Linked DNA regions of Nothobranchius furzeri. The protein of the gene in region 1 binds, or shares a complex with, the protein of each later gene. Links are inferred from orthologs where the notes say so. Each region holds a gene or a part of one and is shown in the gene's direction. Other genes may lie near its edges.

Region 1 (4,347 bases):
AGCAATGCTGACTCTGACAGAGTTGATTGACCCCTCAATGAGAACCTTCTCCTTCTCATTCCGGCTGATCACCACAGGCTGAAGCAGCAGCTCCTTACTGCTCCTGCAAAGCAACAACAGAGCGGTTCTTAGATGTTGACTTCCAGCTAGTCTCGGCTTTCTAGCTGCATTGGGAGGACACCTTCGAATGGGCTGCAGCAAGTCAGCACAAGTCCACACTTGTGTGTCAGCTGCAGATAATCCACCGAGAGCTCAGGGGCAGGAGAAACATCAGGAAGAAAAAAGTGGATTTTGACACCACCGAGACTGCAGGTGGTTCTGTGCCAATAAACATACCTGACTTCTACCTCCGGTTTGTTGTGGCGCTCCACCACCTGAGAGGAGAAGTTCTCCAGACAGAGGGCTGCCTGCAGGGTGGACCTCACAGCGTTCAAATACGGGCGCAGAGTCGCTGTCTGAGCAGGAACAGAGATCAGGGTTAGCAACAGGAATCCTGCATGATGATGTTCTGTTGATCCAGCTCAGTGAGACCGACCTCACCTGAGCCAAAACTGAGCATCCATACATGAATTAATACATATATAACCTTATTATTTTTCACTTTGTCCGTTTTAGGGTTTCTTTAATAAAGTAGTTATCGGTCGTCTGTGCAGAAAACTGCATTAAAAGCAGGAATTAAGCTGAATCTCGGTGAGTGAGGTGCCTCCAGGTGAGAGTAGATCGCTGATCAGACCTCATAATTGTGCTAGTAATTTTACAACGTTAAAAACGTGTGTTTTCAAAGAGCCACCTGTAACACTAACGAACGAAAAAAGGCCCCAGAACACAGCTCAGCTAAATCACTTCAGTCTCCATTCCGTATGAAAGATGCCCGTTACTGAAGCCAGCCACAAACAAACGCCATCTGTGTGACTCGAACACATAGCTAGCTAGCTAAGGTCAAGTCGCAGTGAGTTGAAAGAAATCGCAAAATTATTCTATATTTTCAGAAACTCGCAAAGTGCAAGAGACTTACCATTTTTGAGCTGTGAAGAAGGAAGTTCCTCAGCCACGCCTGGTACGACTCTTCCGTAAATTCTTCATGGTAATGTAAAGCAAGAGTGCGTTTGTTCTATTCACCTTTCTGGTTGGGTTAGGCGGGCATACATTGTTTGAAAGTATAACTCCGCCCAGCAGGGAAGTGGTTTCTAAAACGAGCACTTACAGCGGTGCATCCATTTGTCTAACCAAGTGGGGGGTGAGAGTCTTTGCTTTTATGACTTTTAAAAAAAGTTACCTTGATTTTTAAAATGATGGTTGTGTTGATTTAATTCGTAAAATAAAAATACTACAATGTTCCACTACGTCGATTTAGAATTGAAAATCTACTTAAAAGGTTTTGTGCAGCTGCGCACTGATAGAACATGGTTTAATCCCACCGTGACATTTTGGTTTACATGGGGGTTGTTGTGATCAAAATTTGGCAATTTTTGTTTTGTGTGCTGTATATCTTTAAATCTAATAGTACATATTACATAACATAAACACAGTGCTTGATTAATATTTCTTTTGGTTCAGGGAAGGTGCTGTTTTATTAATATCTTTATCGACACCCCTCTTGCTACAATGGTTTGTTCCATCATGGACACTTTTTACTGACGGTAAATGCTACTACTCAATGTTTCTGGGCTCCAAACATGAAAATGTAAGGTCTTAAATTTCTCCGTGGTGTAATATCTGTATGCAGACAGTGAATATGAAAGCCACTGTTGTTAAATTCTGAGATATCAGCCCCATTTGGGCCCGGGGCGGAATGATGCATCCTTTTTTCACGTACGTGCTTTGGGTTTTTGATTAGAGACGCACCACCGAGCTCGGCCGAACACCTGTGTGTGTGTGTGTGTGTGTGTGTGTGTGTGTGTGTGTGTGTGTGTGTGTGTGTGTGAGAGAGAGAGAGACACACATACTTCTAACTAACGCGATGCTCGTGTTTGTACCAGTTTAATAGGACATTGACAGCACCACGGCATCATGAGCGAACTGAAGGACTGCCCCCCGCTGAAGTACTACGACTTCAAGCCCGTGGAGCACGTTAAGTTGTGCCCCCGTTACACCGCAGTGTTGGGACGGTCAGACGACGATGGCATCGGCATCGAAGAGCTGGACACCCTGCAGCTAGAGCTGGAGACCCTGCTGTCCTCAGCCAGCCGGCGCCTCCGAGCCCTGGAGGAGCAGAGACAGGTGGGTGTTTCAGGTTAATGAAAGAATGGACTCCAAATAAAAAATATATAAAAATATTAAAACTTTCATTCTTACCTACTTCTTCAGATCCTCACAGATTGGCAAGACAAGAAGGGAGACAAACGATTTCTAAAGCTGGGCAAAGACCCAGATCCTGCGGCCCCATCCCGCCATAAACCTAAGAAGCAAAAACTGGATGGAAAGGGAGGACATGCACCAGGCCCAGGTCCTGGCAGACCCAAATCCAAAATCCTACAGCCCAAAGTTCAAGAGTATGATTTTCCAGATGATCCACAAGACATCCCTCGCACTCCGAAGAACGATGCACCCAACAGGTTTGCAGCATCAGAACCTTTTAAGTATAGAAGAATATCTTCTGGTGCATTATTAGCTAGACTGTTCAGGGATGTGCTGTATATCCACAACAATCATCAGTTTGTTTTTGCTTTAATGTGTTTTTTTTTTAGGTTCTGGGCGTCAGTCGAGCCATATTGTGCTGATATCACAAATGAGGAGGTACGACTGCTGGAGGAGCTTCTTAAGCCTCCAGATGATGAGACTGAGTACTTCAAAGTAAGACGTAAATCACAGTCTTCTTCATTTAAGTAATAATTAACATCTTAGTTTGCGGTTGATGAAGACGCATTGTGGGAAAAGTACGCCAGCGACTCAGCTCCGTTTGTGCTAACTGTAGATTCCAGCTCTGGGGAAGCATTATTCCCAGCGATGGGCCCAAGAGGACCTGCTGGAGGAGCAGAGGGAAGGAGCACGGGCCAACGACAAGAAGAAAAGCATCATGGGAGGGCCGCTGTCAGAACTAGATGCAAAAGGTGAAGGAGGCCTGAAACGATCGTGAGCATGTGTGCTTTTGTCTTAACTGTGCTTAACTGTGACATGCAGCTGTTGCTACTATGTTTGTTTTAATACTCGTCTTTACTTTTATTTTATTTTTTACAGATGTCGACTCCCTGCTGAAAAAGTCAGAATCCCAGCATGAATCACCAGAAGATGGGTGTCCCTTCTTCCCCCTCACACAGCGGCTGCTGCAGGCTCTTGTAGAGGTCAGACTAACTCCATTCAAATCTCACTGAATTAGGATTGAGGTGCAACCATTTTTAGGTAACATCGACTTTTGTTTGTTTCTACTTCATTGTGTGGTATTGTTTTCCACTTACCCATATTCATCCGTTTTAAGATTTCATACTTTACAGCAGGCAGAGATACCTTCTGATTCCTGACAACTACTTTTAGTGTAACCAACATATGTATTTATGTGTGTTCTCTAGTGAAACAACTTGATTCATCAGCCAGCACTTGTGGTTTCTGTAACGGTCATAAGATCACAATCTGAAGTACTTTATTCAGCTTTGCTTTGCAGCGTTGCTCGCACTTTTACCTTCTTTTCAACCGTTTGTCTTTTTAGTGCATCTAAAGCCTCTTCTGCACCAAAAGCTGCAAAGCTGAGATCTGAAAGCTGTTTATTTGTATGGTTTGGAAACGTTGCACTGCGGCATACTCTTGTGCAGCCAACAGACACATAAAACATCTCTGTGCGTGCTGCTTTTGGTGTGCCAGAGGCATCGGAATAACTGTCAGAAACCTGTACACTGATTTGTTCTCTTGCATTGATCCATGCAGAGAAAAAGTGTTGGGTGTTGACACAGCACTGGTTGGTTTCTAAAGTTTAAGTTATGTTTGTGTAGATTTTGCATCAGAAACAAGAAAAGTATTCATCGCTAAATCTGGAGCCTGAAAAATGTTGCTGCAAAACCTTTCTAGAATATTTGAAGTCCAGCTCCTTTTGGGCTTATAGCGTAACAAGAGGTAGTCATAGAGGTGTATGTTTATCAGTTTGGTTTTGTTCTTTTCCAGGAGAACATTATATCCCCTATGGAGGATTCTCCAATACCAGACATATCAGGAAAGGATGCCAATGACGGTGCTGGCACTTCTCCTCGAAGCCAAGGCAAAGCATTCAGGTGCGTTGCATCGTATCCGTGCAGAAGATCAGCTCTTTGTAGAACGTTATCTACCAGGTTCAGTTTAAGGTTCGGATGTTTGTCTACAAAGCCTGTGAACTGCCTATTTCTAACATGCCCACTCCATCTCAGAGGTCTGCTGTAGGGA
Region 2 (4,216 bases), on another chromosome or scaffold:
TCCCGATTAAAACATGCAATTACAAAGTATTGGTATTTAATTTAATATATGATGATGTAAGTATTACCTCTTCTGTTCTTTATGATTTTTCAACTAACAAGATAGTGAAAGATCAAGTCAGACCCTTAGCTAATGAGCATCTGCAATTTGGCTTCAAAAGTTAAATTCAACCAAAATGCTCTAAGTATTTTCCAAGAAGTACCTTAAATCACATATACAGCTCATTAAAAGGGTAAAAAAAATTACAGCTCTTGGGTCTGCAGCCAGGCAAATTAAATGAGCAGTGTATTTAATTTCAGAGCTCCTCGCTGTGTGGGAACATTTAGCAACTGCTCAGCATGTCAAACCATGTCAAGTGTTACAGTTCTCTTCCTGTTTCACGGGAAAAAATATCACCCTACAAATGAATTAAGCTAAAAAGGCTTATCTTCAGAGCCCTTCCTAAAATGATTAACCTTTCTAAAGAGCATTATTGAGTTCTGAGTGCATGGTTGTGCCGTCTCTTTGCCTGTAATTGTTCTTTTTCTGTTGTTTCCTTCATCAGTCTCTCTCTTCATTATATGAAAAGAAGTGAAAAATGTCTGAATAGAGAAGGGAGATTTTCCCACAGTCACTCAACTCAGAGAAATACACCATTGTGGGCAGGTTCCCATCCCAATGCCCTGCTGCTTGGTCCTCTGCAGTAAGAAGCACAGTGTGCTTATAATAAGGAGCCATTCTTTGTGCTGTTTGAGAAGCAGGTGAATGAAAACGTAGGCAAATGTGGCTTGGACATGTCAGTCAGTATTGTAAAAATGTAGACAAGTCCATTTAAACCAAGATTTAAAAAAGAGTTTAAGTCATAAAGCACCTCAAAAATCAGCACAATAAAAACATTAGTAGTTTTTTAAGAATAAAACTTATTTTATATGCTTTATACAAATAAGACATGACCTTATGAGCATCCTCTGAGAAAAGGCAAACAAATATACTGAACCTAAATAATATGTCCATTTCAAAAGTTAAAACATTTTCTGTTTATTTTTCTCTGCTGTTTTTTAAACTATTGTTTACTTTTTTGTTATACTGAAACATATTTCACAATTTTAAGCATCTGTACTAGTTTATTAAATAGTTTAAATTAGTAAAAGTTGACTTTTGCTTTCTGAATGAGCCTTCTAGAAATTAAATCTCCACAAACAAAAACAAAAGCATCTTTCTACCTATGATGAGCCCTCTTTAGGATCAAACAAAAAAAACTATACAGGTTTTTTAATGTTTCAGAATCTATTTAAAGATCAAAATTCTGAGCAAAACACAGTAAATCATTTATTTTTGTGCTTTGAATTTACTTTCATGCGCTACTGTTAATGCGCATGCGTCATTTTAGCCTGCAGTTCCACCAACCACGTGATTAAAATCACCGTCTCGCAACCAATGAGCACGCAGTATTCCATGAGTTTGAGTAGCAATGGCGGAGACAACGAAGCTAAGTGAGAGCAAAGCTCCTCCCAGCGAACCAGCTAAAATGTCCAGTTACAAACACTGCATGGACGCAATACTGGGGCTGCTTTCAGACTTTGGGAAAGAGGTTGGTGTGAAATGATTCAGCTGCTTCGCTCCGAATAGTCATTCCAGTCTGAGTAGTTTCCTAGCGGTGTGCTAATGTTTTTAGCAACTAGCCTCGTCGGTTCATGTTCATTCACTGTCCGTTAATCAAGTTTTTGCCGTAGGAAAGCGTCAGCTCGATGGTTTATATCTAAATTAACAGATTCAGTTTTAATATTTGTATTTCTGTGCAATAAAAACATGTCCAGACTTTTGTGTCACACGTCAGTTTAGGTTCAAATCACGCTTATTTTCATTTACCCTCTTTTTCCATATAGTAAACGTTCACGGTTTTTGGCATTTTTACGCAGTATTATGTAATTTTTGGTCCTGCAGGTAAACGTTTATTGATGCCACTGTCCACAACGCATTTCTACCTTAGAAAATATATTTAACCTTGCTCTATTTCCCCCCGTGTTTACGTCTAAATTATTAAAATTGCTGGATGCTTTAGCTCTTTTCATACCCAGGGCTTCTAAAGGGACATTAAATATATGTATTCAGTCTTATATACACTGTTTTTTTTTGCTAAATAATGGTTTAGTTTTTCTAGCACAGCAGAAAGGTTCAGTGTAAAACAATAAGATTATTTAATTTGACCGTTTATAGAAGCAAATTATGAAAAATTGCTTCTTTTTTAATTACCAAATTGTTGGTTAAATTACTTAAATTATTTAGCATTTTCTGCCTCTACTATTTTGAACTATATATTTTTTATTTAGCTGTGGTGATGTGTACTTGATGAAACTCTTGTTTATTTTCTCTCAAAGCTGAAATTAGGGGATGCTGCTTTGAGAATAGAGGTCAACCCTGGAGCTGTAGTACTTTCGTCATCTTCAGAAGCAGGTGTTTATGGCTGTGTACAGCAGCACATTGCTAAGTTGCAGGTAAGACATTCACCCGTTGGTTAATTTATGTTACATATGACTGCAATATCTAATAAGTGCCACATTTACAGTATAATTGATGGTCACTAGTGTTGTAATTAAAGAAATAATAACACTAATTTATAATGTGTTTGTAGCAGTCAGTGTTCTTTCTGTTTGGCTGTAGGCTGTTTCAGAAAGCCTGAGGTCACTGGTGGAAGCTGATGTTACATCTGTGAAGGAAGACACGGCGGATAACATTGTCACGTCACTATCATCCGAGCACCGGCGTCACAGCTCAGAGGCTGCAGACTGCGGGTCTTCGGGCGATGACGTCATGGTTCAGATCCGAGCCGGGAAGTCAGAGGTTGGTCATTGTCAACAGATCTGTCAGCTGTTCTGGCACTGATATTTTAGAGCCCTTCACACTCTGTCAAGCAAATGAATAATCATAAGTAATTGGTTCCAAGGATGTGCACATGATGTGCAGCAAATGCTTGATGGAGTTCTGATACTGGGTTTGACAGAGAATAAAGGGTTCTGTAGTGCTGTGGTGGGGTAGAATGGACCACATTGCTGGAGGGGTTTGAGAGAGGGCCAGGTCCTTGATGGATTATGAAGTGGATGCTCATTACTCTGAGATTGCATGTGGATGAAGGACAAGAGGCCCCATTCTGTTGTGCATTTATTTTGGTAGCCAGGCAAACCGTATTCTTATTCCATCACATGATGACGATAATCTATTCAACTGTTTGGGCTATCTGGAATAATTTCTCTCACTGTGTTTGATATTTTTTGAAACCATAAATCGCTGAACTTTGTTTACTCTAAATCAGTAAAAATAAGTCGACAAAACATTGAATTCTTCACAGCTATCAGTGGCTCATCAACCCGTTGTGTCTTATTATCTGTCTTCTCTGTAACTCCAGATCGAGCGAAGAATATCTGCATTTATGGAATGCAAGCAGATGGAGATCAATGAAAACAATGTGCGCGAGTTTTGCAACGTGATCGACTGCAATCAGGGTGAGAACGGAGGAGAGATTGGGGGGCAGGGTGGAGAGGGAGGCTGCACACAGATTGCCAATGTTTGGGAGAGAGCTGATTTCCACAGGCGAGAGGTCAGGCTGAACTGCTCCAAGAGTGGGCCTGAAGTAGCTAACACACTCGGCCTTGAAACGCAACCTGCTCTGGCCAGAAAAACACCAGACACACAGGCTGTTTGAAATTCAAAGCTTGTGTGTGACGCCAGTAATGGAAATCAGACGAAGTTGCAGTTCAAGTGTGGTGTATTCATTTCTAATGTTTTTTTTTATGACTATTTTCTTCTTACATTTAGAAAGTCTAATTACACTTTTGTTTTGGATTTGATTCCTTTGTAGAAAACAGCTGTGCCAGGACGGACGCCGTGTTCACTCCTTACCCAGGCTTTAAAAGCCACATTAAAGGTAAGAAAAGGGGACTCTTTGTTGCTCTTACGTTCAAAAATACACTCATCATCACTAGCTAAATTATTTTTGTTAACAATTTGGTAACAAGCATCATGGATGCTGTGTGATTTCTGTAATGTGCATCATTTAAAATTTGGTTGGTTCATCCGAGTCTGTGATTATTCTTTGGTTGATCAGTTTCACGAGTGGTAAACACTTACGGGCCCCAGACTCGTGGCGGGGGGCGCCAGGGAGAGGCTGCAGAGCATCATAGGGGGGCAGCTGCAAGAGACTGTGGAAATGCAGCCATAGAGGAGCGACTTCAGAACATGG
Region 3 (4,309 bases), on another chromosome or scaffold:
CCCAGAACAACTTCTCTTTGATGTTTGACAGGAGCTGATGCAACAGCAAAGACAGAACCATAGGAGAAATCAGCAAGATGTAAACTTTGACTCACACGTTTGGGTTTCGCTGCACTAATGGGTTCATCACATTACCTCCAAGCAGCAGCTGATCTTCTTCTGCAGTTTTAGTGATTCTTCATTTTCTTTCTCAGCCTGTTGTTTCTGCTTCAGCCTTTCAGCCCACAGCTGCTCAAACCGGACCTGTAGGGGATCCCTGCTGTCTTTATTTCTCTCACGGAGCTCTGCCTCCAGCCTGTGGACCTTCAGCTTCAACTTGAAGTGCTTGAGGCGCACCTTGGTCAGCTCGTCCTGCCGAATCTGCGCTGCAACCAGGACCGACTTGACTTTGGCCCGAGCTGCTTCCTTCCCCAGGCGACGACTAAGCGCCGCCTCAGCTGCATCCTGCTTCAGAGCCACCAGTGCCTGCCAGTCCTTTTCCACCTGAAGGCACACATTTAAAATATTGTCAGAGTCAGGTTAACTTAATACAGCTCATCTAACAAATCTGTAATGTCTCTCTCTGGTCAATAAAAAATCCTACATTTCCTAGAGTTCAGGTTTTAGGTCCTGAGTGACAAAATGACCATTATGTAATTGTGTGGCGCCCAAAACAGCAAACTAACAAGCTTTTTTACACTAAAGTCAGAGACCGCAGCAGTCTGTATGAGCCGTCTTCAGACCTGGTCCATCTTCTCCTGTGCCAGCATCTCCAGCTCCTCTGCCTGCCTCTGGGCTGACTCGGAAGCAGATCTGAGCTGAAGCTTCAGGTCAGTCAGGGCTTGGAGGTGCTTCTCATACTCATGCTGCCCTGATGCTGACCACTCCTGATGAACATCCTTGTTTGCTCTCCTTTGGAAGTATCCTGCCAACTTCATTTGCAGCTGTTGGTTTAGCTGGTGGGCTTCCTCTCTCTCCTGGTTCTCCAGGAGCTGCACCAACCCTTTGTGCTCTTCTTTGTCTGCAAGTGCGGCAGGCACCTCCTCCTCGTCCTCCTCCAGTGCAGGACAGATGGGCTCCTTGTCAGGGGTCTGAAAGTTGATCCCCGAGGGTCCATCATGGTCACTCTGCAGGTGTTCATTTGTTTTGTTCATGTCCACATCGAGCTCTTTACTTGTGGTGGGACCACTGCCCTCCTCTGGCTCACAGGATGCTGCTTCTTCAACAAAGAGCCTATTTATGACTTTCCCACTGACAGAGAGTGCCTCGTGTGCTAATATTCCAGCTGAAACGTGCTCTTCTTCATCTTCATTAACATTATTAGGAGCATTATTCTTTTCTTCATTCTGTAACTCTCTACTCATTTTTAATAATAAAAAATAAAGTTAGAATGTATTAAATGGCATTTGTTTGGAGTTAAACGGCTCGCGCAGTTCTGTTGTCAATGAAACTATTCGTTTAGTTTCCGTTGTCCTGGAAACTGGGACCAGGAACCAATCACAGGAGCTCTGTGACGCTCATGAATATTAATTAGGAAGGTGGGTGTGCAGCGCGAGTAGTGAGGCACGTAGTGCGCAGGCGCGAGGTCCTGCCTTCTACAACAAGAAGCAAGAGCCAGGCAAGATGGCCGACCTGGGGAAGAAGTACTGCGTTAACTGCCTCGCGGATGTTACAAACCTACGGCTTCGCTGCACCGACTGCCCCGATATCGAGCTGTGTCCCGAGTGCTTTTCGGCAGGTGCAGAAATCGGTAATCACCGGAGATGGCATGGCTACCAGCAGGTCGACGGCGGTCTTTTCTCACTCTGGGGTCCCGAAGCAGAGGGAGGATGGACCAGCAGGGAAGAGCAGTCGCTCCTCGATGCCATCGAGCAGTATGGATTTGGAAACTGGGTACATCACTTTTATTCACAAATACTCACTAAAGTTTAGTTTTAATGTCTATAGAAAGAAAAAAAGTTTAACAAGAACCAAAAAAAGGGCCACGACGTCTGTAACTTTCAGGAGAACAACTGTCTGTATGATTTGGTACACTCACAGTAAAATACGAGCAAGATCAATAATCTGTTGTTTCTGACTTCTCATAGAGTTGGGACCAGAGCTAGCATAAACTAACTGTAAATATAAATGAAAAGCTGACTTATTACAAGATTTAGATGTTTTCAGGTGTCAGACAAGCTCAGCAGATATGAGGATGTGGAAAAGAAAACTATTCAGTAGAAATCCTAACTCACTAAAAGTGTTCTAATCTAAAAGCAGAGTTTTGTGCTGTTAAGGAAGGATGTTTCTGTTTAAATATTAATTAAATTCTATAGAACCACCTCATAAATTTTTATACTATAATTAGTTTCTTTACCATAAAAACAGGAGTTTTTAGAAGAAGAAAAAAATATCCTTTTAAATGTTTAAATGAGTTGTCTTCACGTTATCTATCAGATCTGATCCATCCTTATGTTCCCTCAAGGAACCTTCGGTCAGCACAGCAAGGACTGTTGGTCGTTCCTAGCTAGGGTTTCCTGTTAGGGGTATTCCTGCTAGGACAAGCTGGTTCCCAAAGTCAGAGACTCTCTTGGTCAGCTTGCTTCCCACACCAAACCTTCTGTCAGGAATCTTGGCGTGACCTTTGACCCAGCTCTCACCCTGGATTCTCATGTCAGTTCTCTTGTTCGCTCATCCTTCTTCCATCTCAGGAACATTGCTAAGCTGAGTCCCATTCTGTCCCGCTCTGAACTTGAGACAGTTCTCCACACCTTCATCTCCTCACGCTTAGACTACTGTAACTCTCTTTTCACGTGTCTGAGCAGAACCTCCCTGAACCGTCTACAGGTGGTTCAGAACGCCTGTGCTTGGCTTCTGACCAAGTCCTCCAAACACACCCACATCACCCCGCTTCTCCTCCAGCTTCACTGGCTGCCAGTCAACTTCAGGGTTCATTTCAAGGTCCTGGTTCTGGTCTATAGGGCCTTACATGGACAAGCACCATCTTACATTGGTGATCTTCTTAGTCCCTACACCCCCAGCAGGTCCCTGAGGTCCAGTGATCAAAGCCTACTGGTTGTGCAGCACCAGGCTAAAGGTCAAAGGTGACAGATCATTTGCTGCTGTGGCCCCCAGACTCTGGACCTCTCTCCCCCTGAGCCTGAGATCAGTGGACTCAGTGGTCTCCTTTAAAAAGCAGCTGAAGACTCACCAGTTCAAGCTGGCTTTTGTATGACCTTCTTCACCTCTCTCTCTTTATTCTGCTCTCCCCACCTATTCCACCTTCCTCAGGATCCACTGATTTCCCTCTTTCCTGTTCACTCTCCCTCTTTCTTAACTTTTTTCTTTTAAATCGCAATTGCTTATTCTTGCTCATGTTAAATATATTTTTAAACATTTTCGAAATGCTTTTTTATATTTTTACATTTTTTATATTTGTTTTTGTGAAGTGCCTCGTGATTTTTATCATGAGAGGCGCTACAGAAATGATATTTTCTTCTTCTTCCTTTCTATAGCGCCTCTCAAGATAAAAATCACGGGGCGCTTCACAAAAACAAAAAAATGTAAAAATACAAAAAAGAATTTAGAAAATGGTTAAAAATATATTCAAAATGTGCAAAAAATAGACAGTTGTGATTAAAAAAATAAAAGACCAGGGGACTCATTTATAAAGCTTGTTCCCGCTCAGAAGGGGGTCTGAAAACTGCGTAAGTTAGCCTGCAGAAAGATTTTACAGAAAGGCTTTGGACCTGGTGTAAATACATGTTGGAGATATGTTTACATGCATAAAAAACAACTTCAGCCAACATAAGGCAATTGTGTTTTACTGATGCTGCATGTAAATGCACAGAGGGATGATTGGATTTTCCTCTGTTTAATTTCCGCTGTAAATAATCTAATAATGTATAAAGCAGTGGTTCTCAATCCTTTGTTCTGGAGGGCCGGTATCCAGCATGTTTTAGTTTCATCTTACCAGCACCCTAAACTGTGTTTTTGGGTCACCAACAATCTAAAGTGTGTGTTTGGGTCACCAGCACCATAAACTGTGTGTTTAGGTCACCAGCACCATAAACTGTGTGTTTGGGTCACCAGCACCCTAAACTGTGTTTTTGGGTCACCAACACCCTAAACTGTGTGTTTGGGTCACCAACACCCTGAACTGTGTTTTTGGGTCACCAACACCCTGAACTGTGTTTTTGGGTCACCAGCACCATAAACTAAACTGTGTTTGGGTCACCAGCACCCTAAACTGTGTGTTTGGGTCACCAGCACCATAAACTGTGTGTTTGGGTCACCAACACCCTAAACTGTGTGTTTGGGTCACCAACACCATAAACTGTGTGTTTGGGTC
Region 4 (4,367 bases), on another chromosome or scaffold:
GAACAGGCTCAGTTGGCCCTTTAATGGTCAAAGTTGCTGCATAAAAACAGAAATAATGAAGTTATTGATCAGTGAAAGCATGTAGATTAATAAGTTTAAACCATAGAAATACTAGATACTTTGATCACATGACCACAAACAGGTTCCATCTATTGGCGCCAAGAGTTTAAGTTTGTTGATGTTTTTATTTTTCTACTAAAACCCAGTAAACATGAGGTTATATTCTATATACTTAATTTGTTTAATTTTCTGAACTCTGAACATTTGCTGTTTATCTCTGCGTGACGTAAGCACCAGTGTTTAGAACAGATGAGACGCAAACAGGCAAGTAAACACGACTCTGTAGAATAAATCTATAACAAAAAGATAAAAAGTAAAATGAGAAAAACTAAAAGAGTAAAATCCTAAACCAAGCTTCCTTTTACATAAGAAAAAACACACAGCTTTAAAAACAGTTGATGAGAATTAGAAACATATTTACCGAAGGTGCCATGAATCAGGACCACCAGTGAAAACACCAGAAAGGTTTTCATGTCTGTGGAAAATCTTTTCACCACTAAAACTGAAGTCCTGAAGTGCTGCGCAGCTCTAAACTGAAATGAAAGTTTCCTTTGTATTAGTAGATCAGAGCGTAGGTGTGGCTTTCTGTTCTGCTTTTGTCCAGGAAGTGTGATATCAGATTATTAAGAGACTCTGAAAGATCATAGCCATTATTTTCATTTTATGCATGAAAATAAATGACGCGGAATAGGTATGGTTTTGCAACAGCGTTGCTCTAGGGATTACATTTCGGTTATTTGCTCAACTGCGCCAGACAAAGGGACGCTTCGCTCCTCCGCCAATGGTATTATGTAAACTCAGCGCGTCATTTGTATCCACGGGGGAAAGCGCTCAAGGTAGGTTTGAAAGTTCAGGGGTTTCCTGAAGAACTTGTTGTAGTTTTGCTTTTGTTTTACTATTACTTTTTATTTGTAGGGTGACATGTAATACAAAAGCCAAGCCAGCACTATGCGCTTCATCGGCTTTGATCCCTTAATTTGTTTTATTATGTTTTGGCACGAAATCTGGTCATTAACTGATTATGTGTGCACACGATATTTACAAAACAAATAAATTCAATACAAAATAAATTTGGGTTGATAAAAAGCTCATATTCTTCATTAACTTGTGGTTTAAGAGATGTTTCATTTAGCAAATTATTCCACAGAAGTGTTTTAGATTAAATTAGGGAATGTTTGGGGTTTAAAATAGAAATTCTGTTGTAATATATTTCAATTAAGTACAGTTTATTTATATTGTTTGATTGGATTATCACTATTTTATTGGAAAATTGTTCATTTATCTGTAAAATTCAGTAAATCCGTGAAGTTTTAACCCGCTTGTTTGTGTAATACTTTGAATATCCAGCAGGAGGCGACATAGGAACAACGCCTTGACACAGGAAGTATAACCAAGCTAACCGGAAATGCTGAAAAGCACTCGCTCGTTTGTTTTTATTGTATGGAGACACAATTTTGGATTATCTTTGTAACTAAAACACTTAGTCGTTTTTGTATCAAATAAATATGGACAGATAGTGTTTATTTAACGTGGTGAGTATTCGAATTCAGATAATTTTTGAGTGCAGGGTACATAACGTTCTTCCGTCAGATTAGCTGCTAACGTTAGCGTCTGTGGCTAACGTCAAAAATGGATAGCGTTTGTTTTTAGTATCTGGATTTTCTACTTTTTAAATCGCTGCTTTTTTTTTGTCACAGATGCTGAGTCGCTTGCTTGCAACCGGAGAGTTTTAGTGAATGTTACGAAATGTTCTGCTTTTTTGGTTTCTGTCTGTAATTTGTCCAGGGCTAACTCGTTGTTTGACTGCTAATCTAATCAGTCTATGGCGAATTGAAGCTACAGCGAGCTCACAAACACTTTTATTCCACTTCATATTATTTTATGTCAGTATTAGGTTACCTTACATACTTTCAAGCACATATTTTTCAACAGCTGTGCAATGGTCATTGTAACAATCATTAATGGGTAGCAAGTCAGTGGATCAACATTCATCACGAATAGCAGCAATTAAAAACAAATATCTGTGCTGGAAATAAAAAACTGTTATTAATTTGATTTATTGAGAGGAATTATGTCATGGAAATTTCCTTTTAAAATCTGTCACTCTGGTAAAACTTGTGATCAAGCTAACTTCACTTGGGACTGCTGTTTATTTTCTGATTCTTCACCTTAGATTAAAGGCCGTGTTCCTCGTACGAAGGTGATCTATTCTACCTGTGCCCAAGTTGGACGGTCACCCAGGACTGTTGCTTTCTCTGAAGGACTTCCACATTTTGGGCACCTCAGAAACCAGTGGATCCCAGTACGCTTGCCTGTGTTTACCAGCATGGCTAACAACACCCCGATAATAGTGAAGGGTCTGCCCTCGGGTCCTGCAGGTAGAAGCAGCCCAGAGGGCTCTCAGGTTTGTTCCTCCTCTTTGCTGTCTTTGTCTAATGTCATTTTGAATAAAGTGTTTATCTCTAAATAAAAAAACAAGAATTCTATTCTAACACACATTTCTGTGAAAATTTTCTCCAGGTGCTCAGTAAGAAGAAGCTTCAGGACCTGGTGAGAGAAATCGACCCAAATGAGCAGCTGGATGAGGATGTTGAGGAGGTTTGTTAGTGGTGTTCAACTTAAATTTCCACTTTCATACCCAAATCTGCTTCAAAATACACGACTTAAACATAAATAAAGCATTTTTTCTCATTTAAAAATAGTTTAGAAGTCTGATTTCAAGAAATAATGGGGCAATTGATAATAATTATCCTTTTCGAGGTTGAATAGTGTCGCTTGAGTTCTATAAATGTTTTTGAAGGCATCAGAAATGTTTCTCTTCTCAGATGCTGCTTCAAATTGCGGATGACTTCATAGAAAGTGTGGTGACAGCTGCCTGCCAACTAGCACGCCATCGCAAATCCAACACATTAGAAGTTAAAGATGTTCAGCTACACCTCGGTAGGTTTCGGGTAACTTAATTGTAAAATTCTAAAATGAGTACAATTTTGGGACTTTTGCACAAGGAAATCAAACCTAGAACATAATAGCATTACTTTCAAATATTCTTTCTAATGAAATATCGTGAGGTCTGAGGTGACATATTGTCTTCATGTAATCATTTCATGCTTTCAGAGCGCCAGTGGAACATGTGGATACCTGGTTACGGGTCAGATGAAATCAGACCGTTCAAGAAAGCATGCACCACAGAGGCTCATAAACAGGTAAATATGAAAAAAAGTTGGTTTCTGTTAGAATCAATAGTGTCTAAATATTCCTTTCAATATCGTACGTGAGTCTGCACACGTAAAAAAAACCTGACTGAGATCATCTCTTATTTTCTGTTTCAGAGAATGGCGCTGATCCGCAAGACGACCAAAAAGTAGCATCAGACTCTGTTGTTCTGAATGTTTTTTTGGTAATAGACAATGTACGTGGTTTTGACGAGGGGTGTATATCTTTTGAAATAAATCGTTTTTGTCACGTCTCTTGAGACATTTGCGTGCTTTGCCAGAGCACGATAGTATTTGTGTGTTTTACTCTGACGTGTTACCGCTGCGCTACGACCGGCTGAACCTCATTGTACTCTGTTAAAAATATTGTTTGTAACGTCATCGTCTAATGTGGTTAGATTTTTGACACTCTTGATCATGGAGATGATAACCATACTGACTGTGTTTACCCTGCTTGACTTTGTTTTTCCCTTTTCTTTCTCTAAATCAAAAATAGAAAGATATGGTATTTAATTGAATTTTACATTGTCAGAAATAAAGTAATAATACCACGATACAAGTTATGCTTTGGAGTTTGCATTCTCCATGCTTTGACTTGAGTGTCATTCATTTGAAAAGCAAAGAAAATGGATGTTTTATGTGAGTGTAGTTGAGGGTTTCACGAGTAAAAATGTCTCGGTGTCAGGCAATCCCAGCACATTTAAAACTGCATCTAGATGAACGATGAAGTGGTTCAGAGGCTGAGCCGATATATCAACAAATGTGATGGATTCACTAAACACGAGGATGATTTAGGCTGTGGAATAAAATAAAGCAACAGCTGTTAAGTTGTTTTCTTTTGGTGGATGAAGGGTTTATTAGAGGGATCACAATGGCTGCAGGAGCAGTGCATGAAAACAAGTCAGTCACTTGTAGAGTGATGTGCAGTTATTGTTACAGCAAAGCATTTTATTTGTAACTACTGGCCCAAGACTGGATCACATTAGGGAAGGCTTCTAATCAAAACGGACCTTTCGTACCGTCGCTGCTGCCACTTACAGACCAAAACGGAAACAAATAACTCATTTGTTTCTTCAGCACTGATTCTTGTTCTGT
Region 5 (4,155 bases), on another chromosome or scaffold:
ATCCAATCAAGGATAAGTCATGGTTGAATAAACTCATTAACCCTGTTAAAATATTTTCTAAATTTAAAATGAGCTGTGTATTTTAATATAAAGTTGTTTGCAAATGTTTGGAAAAGTAATTACAAATGTAACACCAATTTTAAAGCTTTTTTTCATGCTCAAAATTATGTTTGATACATTCTAGTAATATATATCCTATAATAGGCACGATTCCCAATCAGTCTTTTGGTGCATGAATCATTTGGAGTTTCAAACTGATTACTAAATACAAAAATAGTTTCTCCACCATTTCGCTGAGTTTCTTATTTGACTCACGGAACTGAGATTGAAGGGTTTTCTCCTTATCTTTTAACTCCTGCAGCTCCTTTTTCAGTTGGCTAGTTTTGATGTTGAAAGGCGCTGTTCAAATAGTCAGAAACTTTGCCCTCAAGCAACTGAGTTTCGAAATTCTGCTTATTTTTGAGCCGTAACTTGGTGTATTTGGGTGGGTTAGTTTCACCCTTGTTACAACTCTGGGGAGGATTACCTCCCTGAACAGGAATCGTTTGGAGTGCTGTTTGTATTCCTCACTGCTCATTTTCAACAGATGGTTATTGAAATAATTCAATAAAACAATATAACAACACTGTGGACGGTCAGAAAAATGGGCTGTCTCTTGGAAATCCCAAAGTGAATGACTTCGAACGTGCCAGACCCTGACAATAGAACTTTGTTTATGACGTAATCGCGCAGCACTCTGAGTCGGCATAGATATTATATATACATTCATACATATATATATATATATATAAAAGTATATGTATACATATATGTATATATATATATATATATAAGTATATGTATATATACATATATATAATTATATATATATGTATATATACATATATGTATACATATACTTATATATATATATTATATATATATAAGTATATGTATACATATATGTATATATACATATATATATAATTATATATATACACATACATATATATATGTGTATATAGATACGTGTGTGTGTGTATATATATAAATATACACACACATATTTATATATATATGTGTGTGTGTGTGTGTGTGTGTGTGTGTGTGACAAATATTTTACATAATACTTCTGGAAATATCACATCCGGTGCTAACGTTACTGTGAAGCTAGTGGACCTAAATCCACTTTTTCAGACGGCACTTGAACGCAGCATATGAGGTAAACGGGAACGGAGAGGAAGGAAGTGTTTGTTGCAGCAGCGTGGATATGTCGGACCCGGCGGCGCAGGCCTTACAACCCCGGCTTCTCCAAACCCAGTCTACCGGGACTGCGGGGTCTGGTGCTGCTGCGACGGGTTCCGGACCGGGGAACAGCGACCCGGCCAGACCAGGACTGAGCCAGCAACAGCGCGCCAGCCAGAAGAAAGCCCAGGTCCGAGCTTTCCCACGGGCGAAAAAGCTCGAGAAACTTGGCGTATTCTCCGCATGCAAGGTAGCTAACTCAGCTAGCCGAAGTTCACAACAACAAAGCACGCTTCTGGTTTGATTACCTTTACGTTATTTAAAACTTCATCAACAATACAATAAATAAACGTGGGGTTTACTCTTTGCAGACAACGTATCTGTTAATGTCCAGTTCTGCATAATACATAATTACTTTGCGGGAAATATTTTCAGTTATTAACGCGCCTGTATGGTTTGTTTGTCCTGTTCTCAGGCTAGTGACACATGCAAGTGTAATGGATGGAAAAACCCAAATCCACCCTCAGCTCCTCGTATGGATCTGCAGCAGCAAACAGCCAGTCTGAGCGAGTCTTGCCGCAGCTGTGGACATGCTTTGGGTACTAACTAACCCTCCGCACATAAACTAACCCGTTTCTACATGCAAACTAACCAATGGCCAAACCTAAACTAACCAGCATCCACACCTAAACTAACCAGTTTCTAAATACAAACTAACTAGCATCCAAACCTAAACTAACCAGTTTCTACATATAAATTAACCAGCATCCACATCTAAACTGATTATCATCCACTCTTAAACTAACCAGCATCTGAGGAGAGTGTTAACATGTCTTCAGTTTGGTCACCAGCCCCTCACAAAGCTGTCTCAGTCTATTGTACTAATGATCAGTGGCACCTTCAGAAATTGTCATGGGGTGGCCATGGGGACAGAGAACATTTTGGGGTGGCACACCAAATTGATCCTCATGGTAACTCTGAGAATGTTTTGCTTGCATTGTAATAAATGCTCATTTGTTCATGAAAAAAAAAATACATTTATGGTTTATGTGAACATTACCTCGACTTCTTAAAGAATATTGGTCTTTAAGACCCAGTAATTCTCAAACAGATTAAAAAACCTTTGCATACGTTTGAAGACATGGATGCGGTTTGCTTTTTGCAACAATAACTTTCACCCCCAATTAACTCAAAATGATTTTTTAATTTCATATGTTCAAATGAGTCATGATGTTTAGAGAATATCTACGCTGATTAAGAAAAAACACTTTATAAAAATTGTGGACGAAGTTATCTGATTAAAAATGAAACTGATAGTGTTCTCATCTCTGTTTTTATTCTTTGATGCGAACTTTCCAGCTGATCACGTGTCCCATCTGGAGAACGTGTCTGAAGATGAGATCAACCGGCTGTTGGGAATGGTCGTGGATGTGGAGAACCTTTTCATGTCCGTGCACAAGGAGGAGGACACCGATACCAAACAAGTGTACTTCTACCTCTTCAAGGTGGGTGCCTCACCCCAATGAAAGGTCCTAATGGACCAACCAGGGAGAAGGCGACCCTCGGGATGTTGGTGTAGTTCGGTCTTTTACTTCTTTCCTCCTTTTTAAGCTCCTGAGGAAATGCATCCTACAGATGAGCCAGCCGGTTGTAGAGGGGTCCCTCGGAAGCCCGCCCTTTGAAAAGCCCAACATTGAGCAGGTGAACTCTTTAGAAAACGCCCCAGGCCCGAGCAATCCTATAAAGAATGCACACTGACCACTGGCTTTCACCAGTTATAGATTTTAAATTGGTGTCATTGGTTCCCCAAAGAGTGTTAATCAGCTGCAGATTTTACATTTGATAAAGATGACCTGAGAGTTTTATTCAACATCCACCTCGTGTTCCTCTTCTGCAGGGCGTTTTGAATTTTGTCCAGTACAAGTTCAGCCACCTGGCACCAAAGGAGAGGCAGACCATGTTCGAGCTGTCGAAGATGTTTCTGTTATGCCTGAATTACTGGAAGTTAGAGACGCCGACGCAGTATCGTCAGCGTACCCAGAAAGATGAGGCAACCGCTTACAAAGTGGACTATACCAGGTGTGTGTTAACGGAGAGCGCACATGTAGTGTTTGTGTTTATTGGTCTGACGTAACAGCAGTGTGGATCTATTGTGTGTGTGTGTGTGACCATCAGGTGGTTGTGCTACTGCCACGTCCCACAGAGTAACGACAGCCTGCCACGCAATGAAACCACTCAGGTGTTTGGTCGAAACTTACTCAAATCCATTTTCACGGTTACTCGGCGCCAGCTCCTGGAGAAGTTCCGGGTGGAGAAAGACAAACTGCTGCCAGAGAAACGCACACTCATCCTCACACACTTTCCCAAGTAAGCACAGGGTCTCTGTAGGGAAAGCTAATGTGGACAACCTGACGACTGCGTGTGAAGGTGCAGGGTGGTGGAGGGGCGAGCTGGGGTTGTCCCTCCATTAGACAGAAAAATAAATATGGTGTAATGACATTTCCTTCACTCTGGTGCAGTTACACAGGTTGTTAAACACCTATTATACCTACGGAGGTAAAACCTTAACTCAGTAACTATTCACTAGGGCTGCTCAATTAATCGAATTTTAATCACGATTACAATCTGAGTTTTGAACAATTATAAAAAACAAAGCAAGCCGATTATTTGCTCCTCCCGCTTGCGCTGCCCTGAGTTGCAAATGAAGCGCTCCTCCACAGTGTTGCCAACTTAGCGACTTTGACGCTATTTCTAGCAGCTTTTCAGACCCCCTTCCTTCTTGACTTTTTAAATCTTAAAAGTACCTAGCGAACACCTCAGAAACATCTCTGGTAACCCTTAGCTACTTTCTGGATAACTGTCGTTGACGTTTCCTGCAGGTTAGCTAAACACTCCACCTGCGCCCCGGACCGTTCTTCAGGACATTAGGAA
Region 6 (3,690 bases), on another chromosome or scaffold:
CCTAGTTATTTTTCATTCTTATCTCAAGTGTGGCTTAATCTAATCAATTCACACTTTTGGACCAGAATATTGCTTATAAGTTACAACAAAGCCAGGTCACCATAAACCTTTCATTTCAATGCCTCCTTTATTGTCCTCAAACGAGTGTAGGTCGTGTTGATGTTCACTCTAGTTGTTGCTCTTTGCTCTGCCTCCAAAGCCATCATTCTCTTACTTTAATTTCCAGGCTCCGCCATGATGCCAACAAAAAAGTAAACTATTTCATCTTGCACTATTTATTGACGGCCGGTGAAACTGAAATGGCTAACAGCTAGCCTTTATATGAGCTACCAGCACAGTAGACGTTTATTGTCGTAAAGCAGGTAGTACCCCTACCGGAACCACAAAATATTTAAGAGCAGTTTCTGGTCAGCAGAGGGCTGCAGAGTGCTGTCAAAATTTTATTTATTTAAAACATAAACTATGTCAGGATTTTTTTTTTTCTGCTTTATACATGCATGAGAGGTGCAGTATTTCTGCACATTTTTTTGGTTGACAGATGTGTTTCTGTATCTTTATCCAGGCTGCTGATGGCGGGAAGTCTGCCTCCCAGCAACAGCAACTGCTGGTGTCAGCCAGCCAGGCGGCAGTAATCAGCGCAGCTAAGAACGCCGGCACAGCCAGCGGCGGCAGTCTGTCCAAGGCAGCTGTGGCCTCTTTGGTCAAAGGAGCTGGAAGCTCCGCCTCCCCAAGTAAGAGTGCAGGAAGTTCAGCCGTTGCCGCAGTGATGGTGGCAAAAGGTGTCACAAATTTGCCCGTCATGAGCACGTCCAAAGGAGCTGGAGCTGGGACTGTGGTGGGGGTGTCCAAAAGCAGCAACACTCCATTAGTTTCTGCGGCGTCGTTAGTCAGCGGAGTGGCAGCTGGAGCAGGAAAAACAAGTGCTGCACTGTCAGGTGTGGAGGAACACACCACAACCTACAATCATATGTTTATGCACAACACATGGGTGTGCAAATGATCTCACCTTGTGGTTTTTGGCCAGGTATGCTGAAGATCCAGTCTGCTGGTTCCAGCTCCCAGCAGACCGTTTTAACCATCCCTGCCACCCAGCTGAAGCAGCTAGGGGTTGGAACTGGGTCTGCTGGACTGCAATCCATATTCATGCCTGTCAGTAAAGGTAAGCCCACTCCATGAACACAGAATAATCTCGCTAGTGTTGAAGTTAAACAGAATCCCAAAACTGATCCTGGATTACTTCTTTAGTTGTTCTGAACTTGATGTAATTTTAAAATAAATCTGAGATGCGCTCCATCATCTGGAAATATCTTATTGTTACCAATATCCTCTCATCTCATTTTTTGTCTTACTGTTTACCTAGCAGGACATTGACCCTTCTGTGTGTGTGTGTGTGTGTGTGTGTGTGTGTGCGTGCGTGCGTGCGTGTGTGCGTGCGTGCGTCCGTCCGTCCGTCTGTCTGTCTGTCTGTCTGTCTAAAGGCCCAGTCTCCAATACTCCTCCCTCCTTCTCCTCTTCATCCACTCCTCCTGGAGCAGCTGGAGCCTCCTCAGGTCTTTCCAGCCAGGTCTCCTCCTCCCTTATCCCGCCTTTAGCACAAGGTGAGAGGGGTCCATTGTCACTCCACCCTCTCCTCTCTTTCTTCCTAACTCCATTTTTATGTTTGAGCTGTCAGAATCAAACATTGGCCACTGAAGACGAAGCAAATAGTTTGATAGTTGTGTTTAAAGCTGATGAACATAATCCAAACCATTAGAGTCTTATTAATGGGACATTTAGCTACTTTTTCAATCATTTTCTTGAGCCACTATGTGCTAAAATGACCCTTTACATGGTTAATGAAATGACACCCAGCCCCCATCGCCACCTGTGACCAGAGTATTCCACTTGCAACTTCAGACTGGCGGGCAGCTCTGTTGGGACTTAGACAAAAGGAGTTGACATACCTGGTGCTGCAGTCTGGTTCCAGCACATTTCCTGGATGTTTTAGATTATGAACACATCTGATTTGTGTAATTTAGTGATGAATAATAATAATAATAATAATAATGCATTGAACTTATATAGCGCTTTTCTAGACCCCCAAAGACGCTTTCACACACTCACATTCACACACTGCTAGTGATGATAAGCTACTTGTAGCCACAGCCGCCCTGGGGAGGTTTGACAGAGGCGAGGCTGCCATTTGGCGCCGTCGGCCCCTCTGACCACCACTAACACAGGCAAGTTGGGTGAAGTGTCTTGCCCAAGGACACAACAGCAGGATACCCCTGGTGGGAGCTGGAATCGAACCCATGACCCTCCGATCATGAGGCAACGCGCTCTACCACCTGAGCTACTGCTGCCCCAAATGAATGAATGACTCCTGTAGATACTAAGGAAGGCTGGGGGGAAAGCGAGGAGATAAGTTTTGCTTTCAGTTCTATAAATGGACTCTAGGGGGTGCCAAAAGCAAGCCAAGACTGCCTAGTTCCCTTTAAAATATAAATTACATGTGTTGATTTGTGATGAAATAGTTCAGAGTAATAATCTTTTATACAAGTCTAAATATGTTTGTGATTCCTAATAACATTTATCTCCCCCACATATACACATCTGCTGTCGCTCTCCGCTGCCACAGTGAAAACAGAACCAGGTGCCGTCGCAGCTGGTCCGTCGCCCCTGGCGACGGCTGCTGCTCCAGCCCCTGTCCATGTTGCTTCTGCAGCCACCACCGTCAAACAGGAACAAGGCACAGATAACTCAGCACACTGCCTCATTAAGTAAGAGCAACGCCGCTGTCTCTTTAAACACAAATGCAGATGATGTTCTGATGTTAATCCAAAGCTCTTTCCTCTCAGCACTGAGCACATCGAAACCATGATGCAGCTGCTGACGGCTGTGGTGAAGAAGTTTCCTCTAATTGTGCCAGAAAAAAGTAAATACAATTAGATTTCATATTTATAAACCGACTGAAGACACTCTTTAAATGTAACGCTGCTTTATTTTTACATAGCTGAAGACTCCCATCCCTTTTGTGCCTCCTCAGTAGAACAGTATTATTCTTGGAACATTGGCAAACGCAGAGCGTCAGAGGTAACCTTTTGATTTTGTTTTGATGAAATCTTATGTCCACCTCTCACCGTTATCTTCAGTTTTACTCGTCTTCATGCTGTACTAGCCTCGTGTTTCATCAACATAGTAAATGATTCATTGCTGTTCTTGTGGAGAAGAGAAGTATGACCGTGTTTTTACTCACTTTGATGGAGTACACGACGTGATGATTCGCCGCGGCTGCAGTTTTGCATTTTAATCCGTCTTCCAGCTGCATCTCTTCTCTCTCTAGTTGGATGTGTGTTTCTGCCACATCATCTCTTTGACTAATACTGTATTCTGAGCCGTATGTGGGATACCGTGAATATTAATGCTTATTCATGCATGTTGCTAAATAGTTTAAGCAGCGAGGGTCTACAATGCTTAAACTTTGTGATCGGACTCTTCCGAGTTAAAATGAGCTGATCTTTGGCCGTCTCTGTAGCTTCAGAGAGCGGTGGCGGTGAAGCGTCTGGTTCAGGACGTGCTGGACCGCTCGCCCCGCCTGCAGGCCCTGACGCCCCCGAAGACCAAGGAGGTGGTGCAGTGGTGCCGGCAGAGGGGCTACACGCCTCCCGACCCTGAACCTCAACACAGAAACGAAGACGAGTCAATCGAGGA
Region 7 (4,417 bases), on another chromosome or scaffold:
TACCGTTACAGGTCCAAGCTTCTGCCTATTAAGGCTTTTAACGAGGTATAGTTAGCTAACTGCTTCAGACAATCAACTATAAACTTCTTGGACTCTGCCAGACAAAATAAACTTGACCTCTGAGTGGTTAATCCCATTAATCTACATCAACAGCCATTAAAACTGCTAAGACCAATCAGACCTTTCCTTTAACATACAGGAAATGATTCCTGGCTTATAGGGTGTTTGAGGGGTTATGGTGCTCCGTGTTTCCAATCGCATTTAGAGGCTAACTTTAGGGAAGAACTTGGATGAAGCAAAGGCAGCTTGTGTTTCCTTTAGTTTTATATGCATCCGGCTGTACAGTGCAGCAGAAACATGGCAAAGGTGACTTCTAAGAAATAAAACACAAAGACAGGCTTAACGCTGTGGGACACCTGAGATGGATGAGAGGATAAGACATGAGAGGATCAGGATTTACTGTAGAAATCCTGGGCCTGTTTTGGAAAGGCTATATGGAACATAGACAGCTATGGTTGTATGTTATTTTCTCTTGTCATGTTGTTAAAAAATCTAAAAGTTGGGGCTGCAGCAGTCATGAAAAAAGTCCATCAAACCCTGTAGAGTCAAAAGTATCGTTGCTTTAATCTTCACTAAATGAACACGTCAAAGTTTGTTCTTTAAGATCAGCTTTTTAAAAGTGCCTTCATTTTAAAATTACAATATATATCAAGGTTGATTTTGGTGACTCAGGGGTTAAGAGGATGAGGTTAAGGTTACGAGTTCAAACCGAGGTTCCCCCAATCATGTCACGTATTGCGTCCTTGGACAAGACACTTCACCCACCTTACCTGCTGGTGGGGGTCAGAGGGGCCAGTGACACCAGTGCTATGCAGCCTCGCCTCTGTCAGTGTGCTCCAGGGCAGCCGTACATTCTAGCTCATCACCATCATTGTTTGAATGTGCGTCTGAATGGATGAAGGATTCAGTGTAGTGTAAAGTGGTTTGGAGTCCTCTGATTGTAAGGATCTACACAAGTGCAGGTCATTTATTAGTTATCGTGACTAGTTTCTGGTATTAACGTTACAGTGCTGGCGTGATTCATTTAAAGCTTGAGTTTTTGAACATATTTAAATGTTATAATGAGAAATAAAAGGCTCATATTATCTAGTGTAAATCTTCGGCATCTTCAGAAAAGCTGACTTTGAAGTTTGATGTAATGTCACAAAACCTCCACGCGAGGGCGACCGTTGTCCAGCTGACGCTGAAAGCAACCATCAGGCTGTTATAAAGATTTTTATTGTTCGGCTTTTGTCATCACTAAACGAACACCTTAAAATTCTTACATTTCTGCTTCAGGCTGGATTAACATTAGTCCCTTAAAAAAGAGATGCACATTGGCTATTTCAACATATCTTAAAATCAGATAAAAGCATGGTAAGAAATTTGAGGGTTCCCTCTTATGAAATCACATGTACTTATTTTTATATTTGTCCAATTTTTAAATACCAAAAGACGTGGTAGTTGTTTTTTTTACATTACAGCTATAATTGTTCTCAAACAAAAAAAGAATACGTTTATTTGCATTTGTCAGTCGAGAATGTTTATTTATGAAAGGTAGCAAACAATGTGACTTTCAATATTTTAACGATTTGTACAATGTTTTTTGATTATTTTTTTAAATCTGTGACGGCCTTCTTTTTGGTAACGCTTTATGGAGTGTTTAGAAAAGCTTACTCCAGCTGTGAATGTACAACTGAGCACAGTTCAAAAATAACAGCACGCGTTGTCTTCAAAGATTCCGCTAGATGGCAGTATTTCCTGATGGGTTTCATTTCAGACTCCGACTACCAAGCCATGTTTCCGGTTTATTCGTCACGCGCATCCGTGACACATTTAGGCTAATGTTGCTAAGAATAAATGCTATCCTAAAATCCCTTACTGTAAGTTTTCCGTTTGTGTAATTTGTTTGGTTCATTTGGCAATGTAAGATAAAAATAATCGGTGGTGTTAAAGCACTTCATAAAGCTAGTCTTTGTGTGAGCAGCGGTACATACATCAGAGAGCTCTTTATTGTTAGCCTAATTGTAGCCTCAGCTTTCACTTCTGTTCTGCGGGGCTAGAAAACAGCAGCCGCTTTACTAGCCTGGTTGCTAATTAGACATACATCTTATTAATATACTAGGGTTTTGTGAAGTGTTTTTGTTCAGCGTGTGTGGAAGATATCCGTGACACTTGCTTTCATTTCTAATTCCTTAAAAGTCACATCGTCAGGCGGCTCATTGTTTGCTATAACACACAAGTAGCCGTTAGCCAACCGGCTAACTTTTGAGGAAGCGTCTCATCTCTTCATGACATTAACTTTGTGTTGACGTCTGCTCAACCCGATCATTTTATTATTTGTACTCCGAAGACTCAAGAAGATAGACATTTGTTAATTCTGGTAACTTCCACACACTAAAGAAGCGGAGCTCCGTTTTTTTATTTTTATTTTAATACTAGTTGGAAGTTATTTTTGTGCCACGATGGCTTCCTCATCTGGGAACGACGACGACCTCACCATCCCCAGAGCAGCCATCAACAAAATGATTAAGGAAACTCTCCCTAACGTTCGAGTGGCCAACGACGCCAGGGAGCTCGTCGTTAACTGTTGCACGGAGTTCATCCACCTCATTTCCTCGGAAGCCAACGAAATATGCAACAAATCCGACAAAAAGACCATATCTCCTGAGCATGTCATCAACGGTGAGTCAGTCCCGACCCAGACCAGGAAGAGTATCATCCTCCCTGGTTCTAACCGCTGAAACTAACTGATTGCACTTTCACCTCCTGTTTTCGCACCGCAGCCCTCGAGAGCCTCGGTTTCGCGTCTTACATCACGGAGGTCAAAGACGTCCTGCAGGAGTGTAAAACTGTAGCTCTGAAGAGGAGGAAGGCCAGTTCTCGACTGGAGAATTTGGGTATCCCGGAAGAGGAGCTCCTCAGACAACAACAGGAACTGTTTGCAAAGGTGAAACGTCCTCATGCGTGAAGCTTGTGCTTTTTGAATGAGCATTCTTGTTTTCCCTTTTGCCAATCAGTAATCGTTGGCCTGGGATGAGCTCTGAGTGTTTATTTAGTACTTTAAACTTATCTGTATAGCTGAGAATAAACAAAACAACAAAGTTATATTCATTTTTATTAATAACACATCGTAACATTTAAGAAACGTCCTGGTGAACATCGCAAATGAACAACAAAGTGCAAAGTTACAAAAATACTGTTATTATTAGAGTGAAGCAGATGATTTAGTTCATTGCTGATGTTATTCACGTTTAGCCTTTTTAAAGATTAAAAGTCATTGTGCTGCCTTCTAGGGTTGTCACGATACTAAAATTTCAAACTCGATTCGATACTGGGAAAAAACTCGGTACTCGATTTCGATACTATTTAAAAACACCAATTTATTGAACAAGTTTATTCAAAAAATAACATTCCTCAATTTATATTGCAAAAGTTAAATGTTAAGAATTAAGTGTGTAAAGTGCTTAAACCTTTCAAGTATCAGCATTTTTTTAAACGTGCATACAAAAACTGGTGAAAGTTAACACTTTAAATCATGAATTGTCCCACTATATATACACTATTTGCAGAGTGATGTTTTGCTGCTTAAACTCTGTTTAAGGTGCATTTTTGTCATAAGATGTAATGCCATATGTTTTGTTCTGTACTTTTGAACAACTCTGTTGGTCAATAAAGGGAGAAAACTAATTTCTCCTCAGTAGGACAAAGGTACATCTACCGGTAATCTTAATAAAAACAGACCAGCGCACGGCAGTGACGTCATTAAAAGCGCCGGTTAGATTAGCCGCGGCTAGTCTGTTTACGCCTAGAAATCCCAGACCCGCTCCAAACGAACAGGGGAATCACGTTAATGATTCCTAACAAAACCTTTCGACATTGAGATGTTTTGGTGCAGATAATGTCTTATTTCGAGGCTGCACCATGGGTGCCCGTCCGCACCCGTTATACGGATATACACTGACGGCGATTCGCCGATGGATCTACGGTAAATACCCCGGGGAATCCAAGTAGCACCAAAGTTGTCAGCATGAGTAAACAAACGTACTGCATGCTAGAAATTAAGTCCGGGTTGCAATAAACGGGAGTTTCCTTTAAGCACATAAGCGTGAATATACAACTACTTGTCGGACTTGGTATGCTAATTAAGTTGGGCTGTGAAGCGCCTCCCAAATTCGCTGTTTTTGTTTATTTTTTTTGGCAGACAAAACTTGGATCGGAGACAACTCGCGTGGGAAATTGCAATGTAGCAATGCGGCGTCTTCTTCTTCTGTTTGTCTGGGAGGCGGAGGCTGCTTTACGGCATCTGGCTGTCGTGCGTGTCGGTGTACTTGAAGAAGGCTGTGTATAATAGTCCATAATATCGATACCACAGGGA

Evidence for each region.
Region 2: tada3l (region 1) and mbip share a complex: the UniProt entries of both Homo sapiens proteins name them as parts of the ADA2A-containing complex. The link is inferred for Nothobranchius furzeri from reciprocal best matches to the Homo sapiens genes TADA3 and MBIP.
Region 3: tada3l (region 1) and tada2b share a complex: the UniProt entries of both Homo sapiens proteins name them as parts of the TFTC-HAT complex. The link is inferred for Nothobranchius furzeri from reciprocal best matches to the Homo sapiens genes TADA3 and TADA2B.
Region 4: tada3l (region 1) and taf12 share a complex: the UniProt entries of both Homo sapiens proteins name them as parts of the STAGA transcription coactivator-HAT complex. The link is inferred for Nothobranchius furzeri from reciprocal best matches to the Homo sapiens genes TADA3 and TAF12.
Region 5: tada3l (region 1) and kat2a share a complex: the UniProt entries of both Homo sapiens proteins name them as parts of the STAGA transcription coactivator-HAT complex. The link is inferred for Nothobranchius furzeri from reciprocal best matches to the Homo sapiens genes TADA3 and KAT2A.
Region 6: tada3l (region 1) and yeats2 share a complex: the UniProt entries of both Homo sapiens proteins name them as parts of the ADA2A-containing complex. The link is inferred for Nothobranchius furzeri from reciprocal best matches to the Homo sapiens genes TADA3 and YEATS2.
Region 7: tada3l (region 1) and dr1 share a complex: the UniProt entries of both Homo sapiens proteins name them as parts of the ADA2A-containing complex. The link is inferred for Nothobranchius furzeri from reciprocal best matches to the Homo sapiens genes TADA3 and DR1.

The regions. Positions count from the first base shown.
Region 1 is NC_091743.1:74,426,857-74,431,203, reverse strand, and holds the start of tada3l (transcriptional adapter 3), read left to right. Parts: upstream 1-1,438; 5' UTR 1,439-1,640; exon of another isoform or gene 1,641-1,684; intron 1,685-1,979; 5' UTR 1,980-2,010; coding exon 2,011-2,220; intron 2,221-2,307; coding exon 2,308-2,555; intron 2,556-2,687; coding exon 2,688-2,793; intron 2,794-2,914; coding exon 2,915-3,050; intron 3,051-3,177; coding exon 3,178-3,281; intron 3,282-4,092; coding exon 4,093-4,199; intron 4,200-4,347. Other genes in the region: actin-related protein 2/3 complex subunit 4, read right to left, coding at 1-103, 337-455, 1,016-1,018. UniProt on the Homo sapiens protein: Functions as a component of the PCAF complex. The PCAF complex is capable of efficiently acetylating histones in a nucleosomal context. The PCAF complex could be considered as the human version of the yeast SAGA complex.
Region 2 is NC_091758.1:21,136,672-21,140,887, reverse strand, and holds the start of mbip (MAP3K12-binding inhibitory protein 1), read left to right. Parts: upstream 1-1,411; 5' UTR 1,412-1,450; coding exon 1,451-1,570; intron 1,571-2,357; coding exon 2,358-2,474; intron 2,475-2,640; coding exon 2,641-2,820; intron 2,821-3,382; coding exon 3,383-3,479; intron 3,480-3,835; coding exon 3,836-3,901; intron 3,902-4,081; coding exon 4,082-4,216. UniProt on the Homo sapiens protein: Inhibits the MAP3K12 activity to induce the activation of the JNK/SAPK pathway. Component of the ATAC complex, a complex with histone acetyltransferase activity on histones H3 and H4.
Region 3 is NC_091754.1:63,115,953-63,120,261, reverse strand, and holds the start of tada2b (transcriptional adapter 2-beta), read left to right. Parts: upstream 1-1,467; 5' UTR 1,468-1,602; coding exon 1,603-1,872; intron 1,873-4,309. Other genes in the region: cfap184 (cilia- and flagella-associated protein 184), read right to left, coding at 1-34, 136-483, 723-1,343. UniProt on the Homo sapiens protein: Coactivates PAX5-dependent transcription together with either SMARCA4 or GCN5L2.
Region 4 is NC_091745.1:72,393,398-72,397,764, reverse strand, and holds taf12 (transcription initiation factor TFIID subunit 12), read left to right. Parts: upstream 1-1,416; 5' UTR 1,417-1,592; intron 1,593-2,233; 5' UTR 2,234-2,386; coding exon 2,387-2,464; intron 2,465-2,580; coding exon 2,581-2,658; intron 2,659-2,885; coding exon 2,886-3,000; intron 3,001-3,174; coding exon 3,175-3,263; intron 3,264-3,389; coding exon 3,390-3,425; 3' UTR 3,426-3,831; downstream 3,832-4,367. Other genes in the region: si:ch211-79k12.1 (roundabout homolog 1), read right to left, coding at 1-36, 482-533. UniProt on the Homo sapiens protein: The TFIID basal transcription factor complex plays a major role in the initiation of RNA polymerase II (Pol II)-dependent transcription.
Region 5 is NC_091745.1:16,620,238-16,624,392, reverse strand, and holds the start of kat2a (histone acetyltransferase KAT2A), read left to right. Parts: upstream 1-1,174; 5' UTR 1,175-1,249; coding exon 1,250-1,474; intron 1,475-1,699; coding exon 1,700-1,823; intron 1,824-2,583; coding exon 2,584-2,729; intron 2,730-2,835; coding exon 2,836-2,925; intron 2,926-3,121; coding exon 3,122-3,303; intron 3,304-3,399; coding exon 3,400-3,591; intron 3,592-4,155. UniProt on the Homo sapiens protein: Protein lysine acyltransferase that can act as a acetyltransferase, glutaryltransferase, succinyltransferase or malonyltransferase, depending on the context.
Region 6 is NC_091751.1:55,945,901-55,949,590, forward strand, and holds part of yeats2 (YEATS domain-containing protein 2), read left to right. Parts: intron 1-562; coding exon 563-935; intron 936-1,024; coding exon 1,025-1,159; intron 1,160-1,478; coding exon 1,479-1,598; intron 1,599-2,617; coding exon 2,618-2,759; intron 2,760-2,837; coding exon 2,838-2,914; intron 2,915-2,992; coding exon 2,993-3,072; intron 3,073-3,514; coding exon 3,515-3,690. UniProt on the Homo sapiens protein: Chromatin reader component of the ATAC complex, a complex with histone acetyltransferase activity on histones H3 and H4. YEATS2 specifically recognizes and binds histone H3 crotonylated at 'Lys-27' (H3K27cr).
Region 7 is NC_091756.1:58,164,502-58,168,918, reverse strand, and holds the start of dr1 (protein Dr1), read left to right. Parts: upstream 1-1,447; 5' UTR 1,448-2,504; coding exon 2,505-2,724; intron 2,725-2,825; coding exon 2,826-2,989; intron 2,990-4,417. UniProt on the Homo sapiens protein: The association of the DR1/DRAP1 heterodimer with TBP results in a functional repression of both activated and basal transcription of class II genes.